Linked DNA regions of Sus scrofa. The protein of the gene in region 1 interacts with the protein of each later gene in a biochemical or structural test. Links are inferred from orthologs where the notes say so. Each region holds a gene or a part of one and is shown in the gene's direction. Other genes may lie near its edges.

Evidence for each region. The genes of interacting proteins can lie anywhere in the genome.
Region 2: the proteins of RB1 (region 1) and RBBP4 form a complex in vitro, tested with the Homo sapiens proteins (2 studies listed by BioGRID). The link is inferred for Sus scrofa from reciprocal best matches to the Homo sapiens genes RB1 and RBBP4.
Region 3: of the proteins of RB1 (region 1) and CDK4, one has a biochemical effect on the other in vitro, tested with the Homo sapiens proteins (40 studies listed by BioGRID, with this or other methods). The link is inferred for Sus scrofa from reciprocal best matches to the Homo sapiens genes RB1 and CDK4.
Region 4: the proteins of RB1 (region 1) and BRF1 form a complex in vitro, tested with the Homo sapiens proteins (2 studies listed by BioGRID). The link is inferred for Sus scrofa from reciprocal best matches to the Homo sapiens genes RB1 and BRF1.

The regions. Positions count from the first base shown.
Region 1 is NC_010453.5:19,199,136-19,202,635, reverse strand, and holds part of RB1 (retinoblastoma-associated protein), read left to right. Parts: intron 1-1,248; coding exon of another isoform or gene 1,249-1,266; coding exon 1,267-1,394; intron 1,395-2,455; coding exon 2,456-2,601; intron 2,602-3,500. UniProt on the Homo sapiens protein: Tumor suppressor that is a key regulator of the G1/S transition of the cell cycle. The hypophosphorylated form binds transcription regulators of the E2F family, preventing transcription of E2F-responsive genes.
Region 2 is NC_010448.4:88,985,787-88,989,891, forward strand, and holds the start of RBBP4 (histone-binding protein RBBP4), read left to right. Parts: upstream 1-1,305; 5' UTR 1,306-1,590; coding exon 1,591-1,606; intron 1,607-2,173; coding exon 2,174-2,321; intron 2,322-4,105. Other genes in the region: ZBTB8OS (protein archease), read right to left, coding at 689-785. UniProt on the Homo sapiens protein: Core histone-binding subunit that may target chromatin assembly factors, chromatin remodeling factors and histone deacetylases to their histone substrates in a manner that is regulated by nucleosomal DNA.
Region 3 is NC_010447.5:23,039,160-23,043,221, reverse strand, and holds CDK4 (cyclin-dependent kinase 4), read left to right. Parts: upstream 1-1,262; 5' UTR 1,263-1,329; intron 1,330-1,774; 5' UTR 1,775-1,793; coding exon 1,794-2,011; intron 2,012-2,170; coding exon 2,171-2,306; intron 2,307-2,423; coding exon 2,424-2,591; intron 2,592-2,756; coding exon 2,757-2,866; intron 2,867-3,114; coding exon 3,115-3,165; intron 3,166-3,305; coding exon 3,306-3,441; intron 3,442-3,680; coding exon 3,681-3,773; 3' UTR 3,774-4,016; downstream 4,017-4,062.
Region 4 is NW_018084979.1:3,374,550-3,378,631, reverse strand, and holds the start of BRF1 (transcription factor IIIB 90 kDa subunit), read left to right. Parts: upstream 1-1,282; 5' UTR 1,283-2,610; coding exon 2,611-2,878; intron 2,879-4,043; exon of another isoform or gene 4,044-4,082.

The DNA.
Region 1 (3,500 bases):
AAATAAGACCAGTTTGGAGACAATTGGAATAGTCCAAGTGAGAAATGTAAATGACTTGATCTAAGAAATGTTAGTAGAGAGAGAAAGAAGTGGACAGATCTGGGGTGTATTTTAGAGGAAGATTTAATAGAACTTTCTTTTGCATTGGCCTTGAAGATTGAGAAAAGGAAAGAAATTAAAAATAGCTCCTAGAGTGACTTAATAAACTGGATGTAATGTGGAGCCATTTTTTGAAATGGGAAAAATGGAGGGAAAATCAAGAATTCCATTTTGGCCTTCTCAAATCTGAAGTCTAGTAAGTAAGTGAATATTTTCACCCGGAATTCAAGGGAGATTAACTTCTACCCAAGTCAAGTCAGTCTACAGTATTGGTAGCGAATTGAGGAGAATTGCAAGTGTGACGGGAGACTAGATCCTGATCCTTAGACGGTCGTGATGGTGATTCCCCTTTCCTGCTGCACTAGGTAATGGATTGCCTGTGGTAGAAACGTCTGTAGTAAGGCGCACGTCTACTTCCTGCTCAGAATTACTTCTGTTACTAAAAAAAAAAATTTAGAAAGTAGATCTGGAGTTTCCCTCTAAAATAAATATAGCACAGAGCAGTAGAAAGTCAGAAGTTGAGAGAGAGTACTTCCTAATATCTCTGCCTTGATTTATGCCTGACATATTTAGTATACAGGTGTAAATCTGCTTTAATAATGCTATCTGAAATATTAGTCATGTAATTCTATACTAGGTAATTTAGGAAGGCATATGTGTGTGTAACTTAAGTCTTCTATATGTGGACCATAGTTATAAATGAAACATTTTTAAACAAAGAATCAGAGAAATTGATATTTTGATATCAATGGCTTATTATTTTAATTAGGAGTCATTTTACATCTATACACTATACACTATAATTATTAAAATCGAACATATAAACACATACAGCTGTGGTTTTCAATAAGGTAGGAATTCCCACTAGAAGCCATTTATTAAAATAAAATTAGAAATGATGACAAGCTTAGTTTTCCTATTAAGCTCCTTTTTCCAACTTATATTTAAGTAGGAATTTGGTGTAGAATAACAGATTAAATAGACAAGATGTGTTTGGATGCATGTCTACAGCCGTGTGTGTGTGTGTGTGTGTGTGTGTGTGTGTGTGTGTGTGTGTGTGTGTGTGTGTGTGAGAGAGAGAGAGAGACAGAAAGTGATGGAGATTCTTAGCAAACTTCAAATGAAGACTTTTCCTTTGAATATATCCAGGTATCTTTCTCCTTTAAGATCCCCCAAGAAAAAAGGGTCAACTACACGTGTAAATTCTACTGCAAATTCAGAGGCACAAGCAACCTCAACCTTCCAGACTCAGAAGCCACTGAAATCTACCTCCCTTTCACTCTTTTACAAAAAAGGTCAGTAGATGTTAACTTGAAGAGTATGGACTCTGAAACCAGGCTGACTAGATTCAAATCTTGGCACTTCTGCTTAGTAAGCATGACTTTGGAAAAGTCACTGAATGTCTTTGTGCCACAGTTTCCTCTTCCATAAGATGGAAATAATAATAATGTACCCTATGAGTTTTGAGGTAATTAAATGAATTAATACATAAAATACTTCCAACAGTGCCTTGCACATAGTAAGCACTCAGAAAGTGTTAGATGTTGTTATTGTTGCTATTGCTGCTATACTTTCAAGTTTATGTTTGGAAATATTTGCTGTTATCATGACTTTTGCTGTTCAGGTGTGTGAGTTGAGATTATACAGTGTGCTGTGGCCTGGTGCATTGCATTTCTGGGTGGCCCAGTGGCATGGCATTCTCAGTTTGCGTGTGGGTTGCGACGGGGCGGGGAGGTGATTTGGTGTCTGTTGGATGTGTATATACATGCAAGTGCATGCCCGCTTGGAGCTCTTTGAAGGAAGGTGAAAGGTCAGATTCCTCTGTGATAAACCTTTTTTTTTTCTGATTTTATTCAAGTCAGCAATATACTGAGCTTCATAGGCAAGATAGAGCAGTGTTTCCAAAGTGTTGTCCCCAACCAGCTGAATCCACCTCACCTGGTAAATTGTAGGAAGGATTTTTTTTTGGAGCCCCACCTTAGAATTACTCAATCAGAAACTCTAAGAAGAGGGAAAAGAATCCTTTTTGAATATTGATAGAATTTTCAACATTTTTTGTGATGAGGGATTACCAGTGGAACTGAAACAAACCCTCTTTGGGTCTGATTTCACAATATCTTAGGATCTTTCTTCTTCCACCTATGCCTCAGTTTTATGCTGTAATAATTTGCCTTCTATGTATATAGCATGGCACTAAGACTAGAAACCATTTATTCATAAGGGAAATAGTGGTAGAGATGAATTTAATGTTAAAATGCTGTTTAACAGCATTTTGATTATAGCAATTTCATGTTTTGAAAAAGTCCACTTGTGATAAGTCGAGAATAGATATGATTGATTCTCCTTATTTCTCCAGTGTACCGACTAGCATATCTTCGACTCAATACCCTGTGTGCACGCCTTCTGTCTGATCACCCAGAACTAGAGCATATCATCTGGACCCTTTTCCAGCACACACTGCAAAATGAGTGTGAACTCATGAGAGACAGGCATTTGGACCAGGTGAGAAAATTATGCACATCTTCTCTTCTCCCCCTTACTTGTTAGCTCTGTAACTGATTTCTTTTCCTTTTTTTTTTTTTTTTGGTCTTTTTTTGTCTTTTTGCCATTTCTTGGGCCGCTCCTGCGGCACATGGAGGTTCCCAGGTTAGGGGTCGAATCAGAGCTGTAGCCACCAGCCTATGCCACAGCCACAGCAACGTGGGATCCGAGCCGAGTCTTCGACCTACACCACAGCTCACGGCAATGCCGGATCCTTAACCCACTGAGCAAGGCCAGGGATTGAACCCCCAACCTCACGGTTCCTAGTCGGATTCGTTAACCACTGCGCCATGATGGGAACTCCTGCATGTGAATTTTAGGATCAGCTTGTCAATTTCTGCAAAGAAGCCAGCTGGAATTTTGATAGGGATTGCTTTTAATCCTAGATCAATTTAGTAGTACTGTTGTCTTAACATTGTCTTATAGTTCATGAACATGTAATGTCTTTCCATTCACTTAGATCTTGAATTTCTTTCAACAATGATTTATAGTTTTCAGAGTACAAGTCTTGCACTTTTTAAAAAAGGATTTTATTCCCTGTTAACTCTGTTGTAGACTTGTTTCCTCAGTTCTCTGTAAGATTTTTCATTACAAGTGTATAGAAATACAATTGATTTCTGTCTGTTGATCTTGTATCCTGCAACCTTGCTGAAGCCGTTTATCAGTTCTAATAGTTTTTTAGTGGATTCCTTAAGATTTTCAGTATATCAAATCCTATCATCTATGAATTGAGGTCATTTTACTGCTTCCTTTTAAATCTAGATGCCCTTTTATTTCATTTATTTGCCAAATTTTTCTGGCTAGACTCTCCAATACAGTGGTGAATAGAAGTGATGAGAGAGAGGATTTACTTATTTTGT
Region 2 (4,105 bases), on another chromosome or scaffold:
GTAGGGAGACATACAGGGTCCAGAAAGAACTAAGCCTAGTAAGCTATGGTAAATAGTTGGATTCTATACTGAAGACAAGGGGAATTTAATGAAATATTTTAAGCAGGGATATTAGAGTCAGATTAGTCCTTCCCAGACCACAGCCACCTTTAGGGATGATAGCTTAAGGTTTATATAGAACTTCAGAGTCTGCACTACACTTTCACATTTATTTTTATCTCAATTATCCCTCACATGAAGGAACTGAATGCAAAGAAAGGTTATGTGATTTGCCTAAAGTCACTTAACTAAATATGGCAAAACCAGGTCTTTTTACTAACACGATACAGGTAAAACACCAAGTTAGAAGTTCCCTACTGAGAGCTTTCAGTCCCCTAACCTAGCCACACTCTTAGGAGACGACAACTCCGCAAACGCTTGAAAACACGGTTGTGTTTAGAATTAATACACCAATAAAATTCCCACAAAGTAAGCGTGAATAGGCACACGTAGAAAAAGTTCAAAAGACTAAATGTGGAAGCCCAGATTTCCGATTCAGACCGGGTGGCTTTTCCCTTCAGCATCCGCGGGACAAGCACAGAAGAGACAAACAGGGCTAAAAGGGAACGTGCCGGAAGTACCGTAGGGGACAAAGTGGAAGGCGAGGCCAGAAGCCCCAGGTAATGAGAGAAGTGAGACACCTACTCACACTCGTACTTCCGATTGACTGGAGGATACTTGGCCTTGATCGCCTTCTGCTCCTCAGTCAAATTGTAATCTCTAAAATCTTCCCCTTCCAGCGCCATGATTGTGCTTTTGGACCCAAACTCAGCTTCCGCCCTTCTTCAGCTGGACTTCGGCCCTGACTTATAACTTCCGCTCTAGACTCCGCCCCTTGGCACACCCTTAAAGGACCAGGGCTCCATTCCCTGGGAGGTACTTAATCCTTCTAGACTTCCGTTCTGTGTCCCAGGGTTTGGAGCACATCATTAAAAGTCGAAGGACCCACTTTCTGCTCTTGCTTAATAGTTCTTCCTACGACTAAGGAAACAAATAATTTGGAGGACGTGGAATAAGGGACACGAATTAGACACCTTTCGATCTGAATGATAGAGGCCTTTTCTTGCCGCCTAGCCCCACAATAGATAACTAGACCCGGAAGCATCCTACATTTTCCCATCTAAAGTACTACTTTGAAGGGGTCGCTAGCTTAACACCCTTCACGAAAATGGCTGCCCCCAAAAGCGTGCGGACTAAACCTCTCACGTGACCCCGGGCGGGTGCACTTCTACTACTCCCGCGCGCGCGAGCGCGCGCGCGTGATCGGAGGAAGTCGGCTTGGGGCCGTGTGGGGGCAGGGGCAGAGCGCGCGCCTGGGCCTGGAGGCAAGCTGCTCCGCGCGTCTGGATAGGCTGCGATCGCGGCTTCCCCGCCCACACCGACGTTCGGCGCACTCCGATTGGCCGATGTTGGCGCGAAGGTGCGCGAGTCGGCCCTCACGCAGGGGCAGCAGGAAACAATAGAGGCCGCGCGCGCAGAAGGAGCGCTCGCAGCCTCCCCGCCCCTCTCGCAACGCTCTGCCCCAGGATCCCCCCGGCTTGCCTGTACGCCATGGCGGACAAGGAAGGTGAGGGTGCCGGGGCCGCCCCAGGAGGGCGGGAGGAGTCAGGCTTGCGCCGCGGCCTCAACGCGGCCTAACGGTGGGGGCAGGCCAGACTCTGCCTAGGGCCGTCCCCGCCATCGCAGGCGTGAGGAAAAATCGCCCCGCGGGGCGGGCTCATGGCGCGCCAGCCCCTCTGGAGCGGAGGCCCGGCGCAGCGGTGTGAGGCTGGCCGTGGTGGCCTCGGGGGGGGTGTTTGGTCCCTCCCGCGCTCCCCGTCGGTCTACCTGCCTCTCTCCGGGTCCTCCCGGCCGCTCTCCCTACCCGCAGGGGTCGGTGCTCGGTCTCACCGTCGGTTCTGTGCGCTCGACGGCGGGCGCCGTCGCCCGAAGGGCTAACGGAGTGTCTGGTCGGGATTACCCGAGCAGTTCCCGCCCGGCGAAGCTGGAGAGCGGTGGTGGTGCCTGCGCCTCCGGGAGATCTAGACTAATCTCCATTTCAGAATCAGGATTCAGGAGCCGTGACGGTAGCTTTGGAAGTGTTTACTCGGTTTCCGTTTGTGGTCGCTAACTTAATTTGTTCTTAATTTTTTAGCAGCCTTTGATGACGCAGTAGAAGAACGTGTGATCAACGAAGAGTACAAAATATGGAAAAAGAACACCCCTTTTCTTTACGATTTGGTGATGACCCATGCTCTGGAGTGGCCCAGCCTAACTGCACAGTGGCTTCCAGATGTAACCAGGTGATAGGAATCTCTCGAATGCTGTTTTGTTGTGTCCTCAGTGTAGATTTCTCACATTGATTTTCCCTGTTTTCCTCTCTCCAGTCACCCGTAGAGGACACGTGATCAAAGCCTATTGGTGACATTTTTTTCCTAGGCCAGAAAGTAAGGCAAAATGTAAAATTATTTTGCAGTTTAGCATATAAGAGAGAACATACTGATGTTTTCTTTTTATTTACTTGTTTTTATTGAGGTACTGATTTACAATGTTGTGTAAATTTCTGCTGTACGGCAAAGTGATTCAGTTATGTTTTTAAAGTACAGCTGATTTTCCATGCTTCTTCGGTTTCTGTTGTATAGCAAAGTGACCCAATCACAGTTTCCTGTGTACACTTTTTTTTGGATATATATTCTTTTCCATTATGGTTTTCCTAGGACACTGAATATAATTTTCTTTGTTATACAGTAGGATCTTGTTTATTACCACTTTCGTGTAGACTAGCTTATTACATCTGCTAACCCCCACCTCCTGCTCCCTCTCCCAACCCCCTTGGCAACCACAAATTTATTTCCTATATCTGAGTCTGTTTCTGTTTTGTAGATAGGTTTGTCATATTTTAGACTCTCCAATATAAATGATATTTGTCTTTCTCTTTCTGATTTCACTTAGTATGATCATCTAATTGCATCCAGGTTGCTGCAAATGGCATTATTTCTTCCTTTTTACGGCTGAGTAGTATTCCATTGTATATATGTACCACATCTTTATTCATCTGTCAGATTGTTCCCATGTCTTGGCTATTGTGAATAATGCTGCTGTGAACATAGCGGTACATGTATCATTTTGAATTATAGTTTTGTCTGGATATATACTGGGGAGTAGGATTGCTGGGTCATATGGTAACTCTATCCTTAGTTTTCTGAGGCATTTACATACTGTTTTCCATAATAGCTGCACCAGTTTGCTTTCCCACCAGCAGTGTGGGAGATGTTTCCTTTTCCTAACACTGAATTGAATAGTGGGATTATAGCTGTAGTTGACCAAATGGTAATGTAAAACTTGTCAGCTTTCAGAAACTATCAGGATGAGTTCAGTTTTTAACATCAAAATGTTTGAATCTCGGCAGTCAGTGGTATTTTCTAGTTAGTTAATGCAAAGGTAAATGTGACATGGTACCTGCTTTCAAGTCTAGTGAATAGGCAGGTATAATTATGAAAGTGGCAAAGATAAAATGATCAGAGAAAGGAAAATTATCTCAACTTGGAATATCAGGAAAGGCTTTCAGTGGGAAGTGACAGTGTGAAAAGGAAGGTGACTTTAAGTAGTATAAAGCTTTAACAAACTGAGCGTGCCTGGGGGAATAATGGATTTTTTATTACAAAACTGTTGGTGTTCAGAGTAACAGCTGAAAGTTATATGTATGCTAAATAACTAGGTTCCTTCAGAACTCAGGTCTTTTGAGTCAAGATATTTGTAAAATGTGGTTGTTGGCCTATGTTTCAGCTCAACAAGTAATAGAAATTTTATAGAAATTTCATTGCCAACTTAATGAGCATGCTACTTTCGTAGTAGCTTTTTAAAAATGGGGAAATCTGGAGTTCCCGTTGTGGCTCAGCAGTAACGAACCCAACCAGTATCCATGAGGATGTGGATTCAGTCCCTGCCCCTGGCAGTGGATTAAAGGATCCAGTGTTGCCGTGAGCTGTGGTGTAGGTCGCAAATGTGGCTCAGATTCAGAGCGTGGCTGTGGCTGGCAGCTGTAGCTCTGATTCAGCCCCTAGCCTGGGAACTTGATGTGCTACAG
Region 3 (4,062 bases), on another chromosome or scaffold:
TTCCTTGCACACACTCATTCCTATATCCATCTGTATATGATGTATATAATAGCGTGCGCGCGCGCGTGCACACACACACACACACACACACCATCTTAGTGCAGAAAAGAAACTTTTTTTTTGGCCCCACCTGTGGCATATGGAAGTTCCCGGCCAGGAACTGAATCCGAGCTGCAGATGTATCAACGTGGGATCGCTAACCCCCTGCGCCTGGTAGGGTTGAACCTGTGCCACCACAGAGACAACTAACTCAACGGATCTCACCCCGCTGCACCACAGCAGGAACTCTGGAAAAGAACCTTAAAGGTCAAGTATTCCTGTTTCCAGCTCATTAATAACCTCTCTGCCAGGAGGTATCTAGATTCTGCTTTAACACTCCCAGGGAGAAATGGAAGTTCTGAAGAGGTGAAGGCACACTACCTTGCCACGCTTCCTGTTGGATTACTGTATTTATCTGCCTTCCATCAGTCCTTTAATGCTAGTTTTGCCCTAAAACGGGTATTGTGTCCTCTCTATTTTATATGATCACGCTGCCGGCTATATCTTTACATATAGCCTTTTCACTACCTTAAAGGGCTAGTGCCTGAGACACCAAAAAAACTCATGTAGCAAAAACCGTACATTTACACAGGAAGTAAGCGTTCGGTAAAAATTTGTTGAATGAGTGAATGAAACAAAGACACAAATGAGAATATGTTTTCCGATGGCGGTGGTACATAAAGGCGACAGCACCTCCTCACGTCCCCAGGCCCCCCACTCTGCATATAGAGTGACAGACGCATAGTGACACTGGAGTTGGCGCTCCGGCTCGGCCTGCAATGGGGAATTGGGATCTGGGTGGCCCAGGTTGCCATGGCACCGTATTGGACTCCACCTTCTCTAGGCTCCCGCCCCCCCCTCGCCAGAGTTACGGCAGCCAGTCACGTGCCCTACAGCGTAACCACACCTCTGCTCCTCCAAGCAGTCAAGCGGTCACGTGTGATAGCAACAGATCACGTGGCTGCCATCGCCCCTCCGCCCCTTTCCCTTCCCCGCCCCCTTCCCGGTCAAATAGGCTCCAAGCTGCCTTTCTGCGCACGCGTACTCTGGTCACGTGTTCCGAACGTCCGGCACATTCGCCCCGCCCTGCCAGTTTCCGCGCGCCTCTTTGGCAGCTGGTCACATGGTGAGGGTGGGGGCAAAGGGGGCCGCTCTAGCCTGCGGCCTATGTCTATGGTCGGGCCCGTAGAGTCCAGCTGCCCCAGACAGAGCTCGAGTGCATGGCGCTGCAAGAACCGGCTCCGGGGCCCCGATAACGGGCCGCCCCCGCAGCTCCTGACACGGGGCGAGGTAAGTGTAGCCCCCTTCCAGGAATAGGGACCATTCTAGTCCTCCCCGGCTTCCTACGCGGGCTGGTCTGGAAGGGTCGCTCGAGGGCGGGAAGTGGTGCAGGGTGTAGTATGTTCCTTTGTGGTCATAGGGAGGTGTAATTTAAAGGACTAGGTGAAGGGTCTTCAATGCAGGGGGTGTGTCGTGTGGGATTTCCCTTGTACAGGGCTTGATAGTCCCAAAGAAGAAGGAATTTTTTAATTCTAGGGCCTCACGTGGCTGGAGGGCTTTTGGTTAATCATTGTGTTACCTAGGGGGGTCGGCCTTATGGAAATTTGGGGAAGGGACGGGATGCTGCTCTTGTTGTCTTTGGGATATGTTTTGTGCGAGACACTTTGTTGCCGCAGGCTCATAACTATTTGAACTCTGGAAGGGAATTTGGTGGCAGGAGTCTCTGTGATTGTAGGGTCTCATCTGGTCTGAGAATGGCTACCTCCCGGTATGAACCAGTGGCGGAGATTGGTGTTGGTGCCTATGGGACCGTGTACAAAGCACGGGATCCCCACAGTGGCCACTTTGTGGCCCTCAAGAGCGTAAGAGTCCCCAATGGAGGAGGTGCTGGAGGGGGCCTGCCCATCAGCACGGTTCGTGAAGTGGCCTTACTGCGCCGGCTGGAGGCTTTCGAGCATCCCAATGTTGTCCGGTGAGAAGAAGGTGGAGGGTTGGGAGTGGGTAGTAAAAAGGAATAGACAACCTGTAGGTGGGGAGTGGTGGTTGAAAGAAGTGGGGACCCTGAAGGAATAGGGGAAGCCATGTTAGGTCAAAGATGATTGATCACTGAGTGACCTTTTGTTCTGGCCAGGCTGATGGATGTCTGTGCCACTGCCCGAACTGATCGAGAGACCAAAGTGACCCTGGTGTTTGAGCATGTGGACCAAGATCTAAGGACATATCTGGACAAGGCACCCCCACCAGGCTTGCCGGTGGAGACCATCAAGGTGAGTAGGATGGACATATACTGAGAAGTAAACTGGGATCTTTGTAGTAGCATCTGTTGTGGCTTCCAGTATGATGCCTAGTTTCCAGTTTCTCTGTACCTCCCCCTTCTAAACCAGGATCTGATGCGTCAGTTTCTAAGAGGCCTAGATTTCCTTCATGCCAACTGCATCGTTCATCGAGACCTGAAGCCAGAGAACATTCTGGTTACAAGTGGTGGGACAGTCAAGCTGGCTGACTTTGGCCTGGCCAGAATCTACAGCTACCAGATGGCACTTACACCTGTGGTCAGTAGAAAGATGGTAGCCAAAATGGCTTCTGGTTAGTGGGAGGAGAATGCTTGCTCGTAGCAGTTGGGAAGTCACGTGTTTTTTACGTGCTTGACTTCAGTGAAGCAGTTGTGCTTCATGGTAAGGAGTAGGGACCTCATCGACCCTTCTTATTCCTATTAGGTGGTTACACTCTGGTACCGTGCTCCAGAAGTTCTTTTGCAGTCTACGTATGCAACACCTGTGGACATGTGGAGCGTTGGCTGTATCTTCGCAGAGATGTTTCGTCGAAAGTATGGGGCCCAAATAACCCATAATTTCCCAAATCTCTTATTCATAAACCACATCCATGTCATGGCCACTCTTCTACTTGAGTACTCCTGACCATCTGGTCTATAACCAGAAGCTCTGAAATATCCTGGAATTAGGAATTCCATAGCTCTTTATTCTACATACCCGATGTTCTGAGCTACTAAGCTGTAATCATTCTTCCACCATATGTTTGAAAATGACTGCTGTCTTATGTCTTTTCTCACCTCAGGCCTCTCTTCTGTGGAAACTCTGAAGCTGACCAGTTAGGCAAAATCTTTGAGTAAGTGATTGGGAAGGGAAAAGAGTTTTCCATTCTTAGTCGTCCTCTTTCTGCTGAGCCCTGGTTGGAAACTGGCTCTGCCCCTGGGGGTGGGGGCTAGAGACGGGCCCTCCTGACCAGAGTTCTCCTGTTTCCCATAGCCTGATTGGGCTGCCCCCAGAGGATGACTGGCCCCGAGATGTGTCTCTACCCCGAGGAGCCTTTTCCCCCAGAGGGCCCCGCCCAGTGCAGTCGGTGGTACCTGAGATGGAGGAGTCTGGAGCACAGCTGCTACTGGTACTGGGCTTGGGTATGGGCACAGGGTGAGATTGGGGTGAAAAAACAGCAGTATAAAAGGGACCCAAACACATTGTGATCACTGAGACTCATTAGTGGATGGGCTAGTTTTCTCTTGCTGCTTTGAATGGCAGTCCACAAAGAGAGATAGAAAAGAACCCATTCTAGATATTGTTAAGGGTGAGTAGAAGTCTATTTTGTTTTCTTCACAGTTTTCTGACCTTTGCCTCCCTTCTTAGGAGATGCTGACTTTTAACCCACACAAGCGAATCTCTGCCTTCCGAGCCCTGCAGCACTCTTATCTACATAAGGCAGAAGGTAACCCAGAGTGAGCAATGGAATGGTTGCAACAGAACCAAGAGAAGAGAAGCCAACACTTCCCTTCCTTTGAACACTTGAGAGTCCCTTGCCGAGAAGTCGATCTCTGCCTTCATCTCTGGGGTGTGGAGACGACTGCCTCTGTCTTTTTACAGAGAATATTTTGCTGCCTTAATGACATTCCCCTCCCTCCCCTCCTTTTGAGACTTACCCCCCCCCATTTCCTTACACCAAGGGGTATGTTCCTTGCTCTCCCCTTCCCTGTACCTTGATACTAGAATCCTTTTTTATACAGGAGAAACA
Region 4 (4,082 bases), on another chromosome or scaffold:
AGCCGCTCCAGCCGGGCAGGGGAGTGGCCAGGGCCACTGGATCAGCAGGATGGCTCTAGCGGCTCCAGCCCGCAGCCATGCGTCATCTCCCCTTCCTGGGGGTGGCGCGGAAGGAGCCGCGCGGGAGTGGAACAGGTCCTGATCCATGCCCCGATGTGACCTAGGAGCCACCGCTGCCGGGGGTGAAGGACGCCGCGCGGCTGAGGGACCGTCTGGGGCAGGGACGGAAACACTCTGCAGAAGGCTCAGCCGACAGCGGGCAGTGGCCAGGGAGCAGTCCTCTCACAAGAAAGAGCTGGGAGCTCCCAGCTCAGGGCTGGTGTCCTGGGAGCCATGTGAGCAGAAAGGCGGGCCCCACAGCGCCAGCCCCCAGGGTGGGTCTGAGAGGGGCCCTGCGAGGTGGGCAGGAGCGGGGTGGGGGCTCAGCTTGAGGCGCCACCAATGCTCCACCTGCTGACAGTCCACTCCGGGTTAGAGATGCGGGCGCTGAGGACTCTGCCGGTCTCATTTACCTGTCCACCCCGACAGAGCCTGAGCTCCCGAAGTCAAAACGGAGTTCAGCACCTCCCCAGGATGCCCTCTAGCGGCGGCCGTGGAGCAGGTGCCCCACTGACCCTACCGTTGGGGCTGCCCAGTAAACAGGTCACAGGGGACCCTTACAGAGCCGAGTAGGGTCCAGAGGTTCACACATTTGTTCACTGAATAAACAAGAAACCAGCTGTAGGAGTTCCTGCTGTGCTGCAATGGGATGGCAGTGTCTCTGCAGCCCCAGGACGCAGGTTCCATCCCAGGCCCGGCACAGTGGGTTAAAGGATCCAGCATTGACGCAGCTGCAGGGTAGGTTGCAATTCAGATCTGGTCCTGGCCCTGGAACTCCATCTGTCTCTGGGCGGGGGATCCGACTACAGCAGCTCGGGTCGCTGCAGACCCGCAGGTTCAATCCCTGGCCCATATGCTGCGGGGTGGCCAAAGATGAAAGGAAAGAAAGAAAGAAAAGTCCCTTGGTCCTTAAAACATGAATAAGAGCTAAGGTTGTAGTGGGTGGAACGAGACGGTTATGGTGTCATTAATTCTAATGAATAGAATCTGGTTGTATCCTGAGAAAAACCCAAGAGAAGAATGTGGCAAAGTGGGGAAGCTAACCAGAGCCAAGGCTGATGCAGGCTGTCGGAAGTAAAGGGGGCAGTCCATCCCCTGACACCGCCAACAGCCACGCAAAATACCTCTCTGGCAGAGGGAGCCGGCTGGCCCCCACACCTGCTCTCTCCTTTTCCACAGGGACGGAGCTCCTGGTCTGGGGCTGGACACAGGCCCCCGAAGAGAGACACCCTCCCTGCCCACCCCCGCCAGCGTCCAGCAGAGGCCAGGGGCATGCGGCTGGGCTGTGAAGGAACCCCTGTGTGTGGACAGCAGTGCCCCGGGGGGTGTCCTCTCTGGGAGACCCATCAGCTGCTCCCCAACAGGCGGAGGCATCCAAAATGGTCGGTGAGGAGACTCACGTGTGATTGGGTCAAGCTGACCGGCTGCAGGGGCCCAGATCAAGCACTGCTTCTGGGTGTGTGTGAGGGTGTTTCTGGGGGAGCCCAGCACCTGAATGGGTGACTCAGTGAGGCAGGTGCCCCCGCCCCAGGCAGGTGGGCCTCGCCCATCGCTGAGGGTCTGACTAGTACAGAGGCGAGGAACGAGAGACCTTCCTGCTGTCCCACCTTCAGACTTTGGATGAATCGCACCCATGGGAGCCTCAGCCTCCGGGAGGATAAGAGCCGACTCCTCCCAATAAACCCCCTTTCTGTGCATGTCCCACTTGCGCTGTGTCTCTGGAACGCTGACCAGCGCAAGGAGCTTGAACACCTGATGCTGAAGTTAGGCTGGCAGACGACACCAGCTGTCATAGCAGAGAAACCCTTTCTCGTCTCCTCACTCGTGACACGGGATGGCTATGGTGCCACCCTGTCGTGGGGTTGGTCATTGGGTTGCCCATGGCCCTGGAGGCAAACGGACAGAGCTGCTGCCCAGAAGGGCCCCGGGAGAAGTGGGCAGCGTTCTTATGGTCATTGCCAGACCAGGCCTTGGAAGAAGGGGAGTCTTGGTAACCAGTATTTGAGGTCTCAAGAGATGGCAGTGACAGTTGTCACTGCAGGAGCTCAAGAGGGGTCGGAAACGCAGAGCAGGCGTGGGAGCTGCTCCAAGAAAACCAGGGGGAGCTGCCCTCGCAAGAGACACCAACCCCAGCCCCAGGTGGACGACACCATCACGATACAGCATCCAATAGGCAGAGCCACCCTGCACTTTCTGAGCACAGAGACACCGGAGGGGGTCGCTGGCTGACGGCCCTGCGGTGTTCGTGTGCCCGGAGATGGCCGCTGTCTCCAAAACCAACACCAACGCCATCGGCGAAGTCAAGGCAAACGGGAGAACGTCTGTGATGTGTGTCGCGGGCCAGAGTTGCCCACCAGTGCCACCGCAAGGGGGTAGGACCCTTGCAGAGACGGGGAAAGGCCTTCCAAAGGACCTGGGGAGCGTGGCGGATGGGCCGGCAGCCGCGGGAATAGGCTTCTCACATAGGGAGATACCCGTTTCGCCCGCAGATTTCCAGCATCCAGCACCGGGATGCCTGCGTTGGTGCTGGTGGGAAGTGCGTGCCCGAGACTGCAGGGGCTGCTGCAGACCCTCTCTGGAGATGCACGGCACTGCGCAGCAGCGACACTTTACAGGAGGTTTCCGAGGTCACCGAGGACCCCGGGGAGTAGGTCTGCCCCGCGCCAGCCAGCCGGGCCCCTGAGAGGGAAGCCTGGCCCCGCCTCCAGGGTCAGAGAGCCGGGTGAGGTCTGGTCGGCCACCTCACAGCCACCCCCGGAGCAGACAGCTGTGACAGATGGTAAGTTAAGAAACGGCTGCCGATAGACGGCCCAACACGATCCTGTTCGGTTAACGAAGCACGTGTAAGTGCATCATGTTTATGTAAGTTGTGTGGTTAAAATATGTACTTACGTGTGAGTGATTCTGCATGTAAAAGACCTATTTTCTTTTTGTCAGCAATGCGTGTGACATGTAGAAGTGCCCAGGCCAGGGATCGAACCCACACCAGAGCAGCAACTGAGCCACAGCAGTGACGATGCCAGATTCTGAACCCTGTGAGCCACCAGGGAACTCCTGAAAGGCTTATATTCAAAGCACAGGAAAAGGAGTTCCCTGGTGGCTCAGTGGGTTAAGGATCCAGTGTGGTCACTACTGTGGCTCTGGTTGCAGTGGCGGCACAGGTTCGATCCCTGGCCTGGGAACGTCCAGGTGCGGGGGGTGGGGAGGGACAAAAAAACCAAAAACACGTTTGGGGAAAATACTGAAAGGTTAGAAATGAATCCAAAGTGTTAAGAAATTATGTCTTTGGTGGAAACGCAGTTGATTTAGCTTTCCCTGCTCGCTTATCTTTATTTCATGTTTTCTCCGTGACGACTGTGTCAGTTGTGCAAGGAGAAGAAAGGACAGTGACAGCAGCAGCTTCTGTGGTCCAAGGGCTGGCAAAGTGGACGGCTGTGCAGCTCTCAGGACCTGGGGCAGGCGCCCAGAGCAGACGGTGCGAGATCCCTGTGCCGCTGGGCCCAGCCCGCCCTGGGTCCGGGTGATGCACAGACGCCCTCCTGTCTCGCACCTGGTTGGTCTGGGCCCTGAGACGAAGGGCCCCTTTGGAGGTACATTTTAATACTTTCCTGTGCTTCGCATGGTGGGAATTGTGTCCCAACAACGTGGTACAAGAGTTAAATGCTGGAAAAGAAAGGAAAACAGCAAGGCCCTGCTGCAGAGGCCAGCAGAGAACCTTCAGAGAGCTTCTACGGACGCACAAGGCGACACCGGCACCTTCGCATCTATGTTCCCCTCAGGGCCGTTCAGATGACTTTCTTCCTTTCTTTCTTTGCATTTTTAGGGCCGCACCTGCGCCATGTGGAGATTCCCAGGCTAGGTGTCAAATTGGAGCTGTAGCTACGGGCCTCCACCAGAGCCACAGCAACTCAGGATCCGAGCCACGTCTGCAACCTACACCACAGCTCACGGCAATGCCGGATCCGTTAACCCACTGAGCGAGG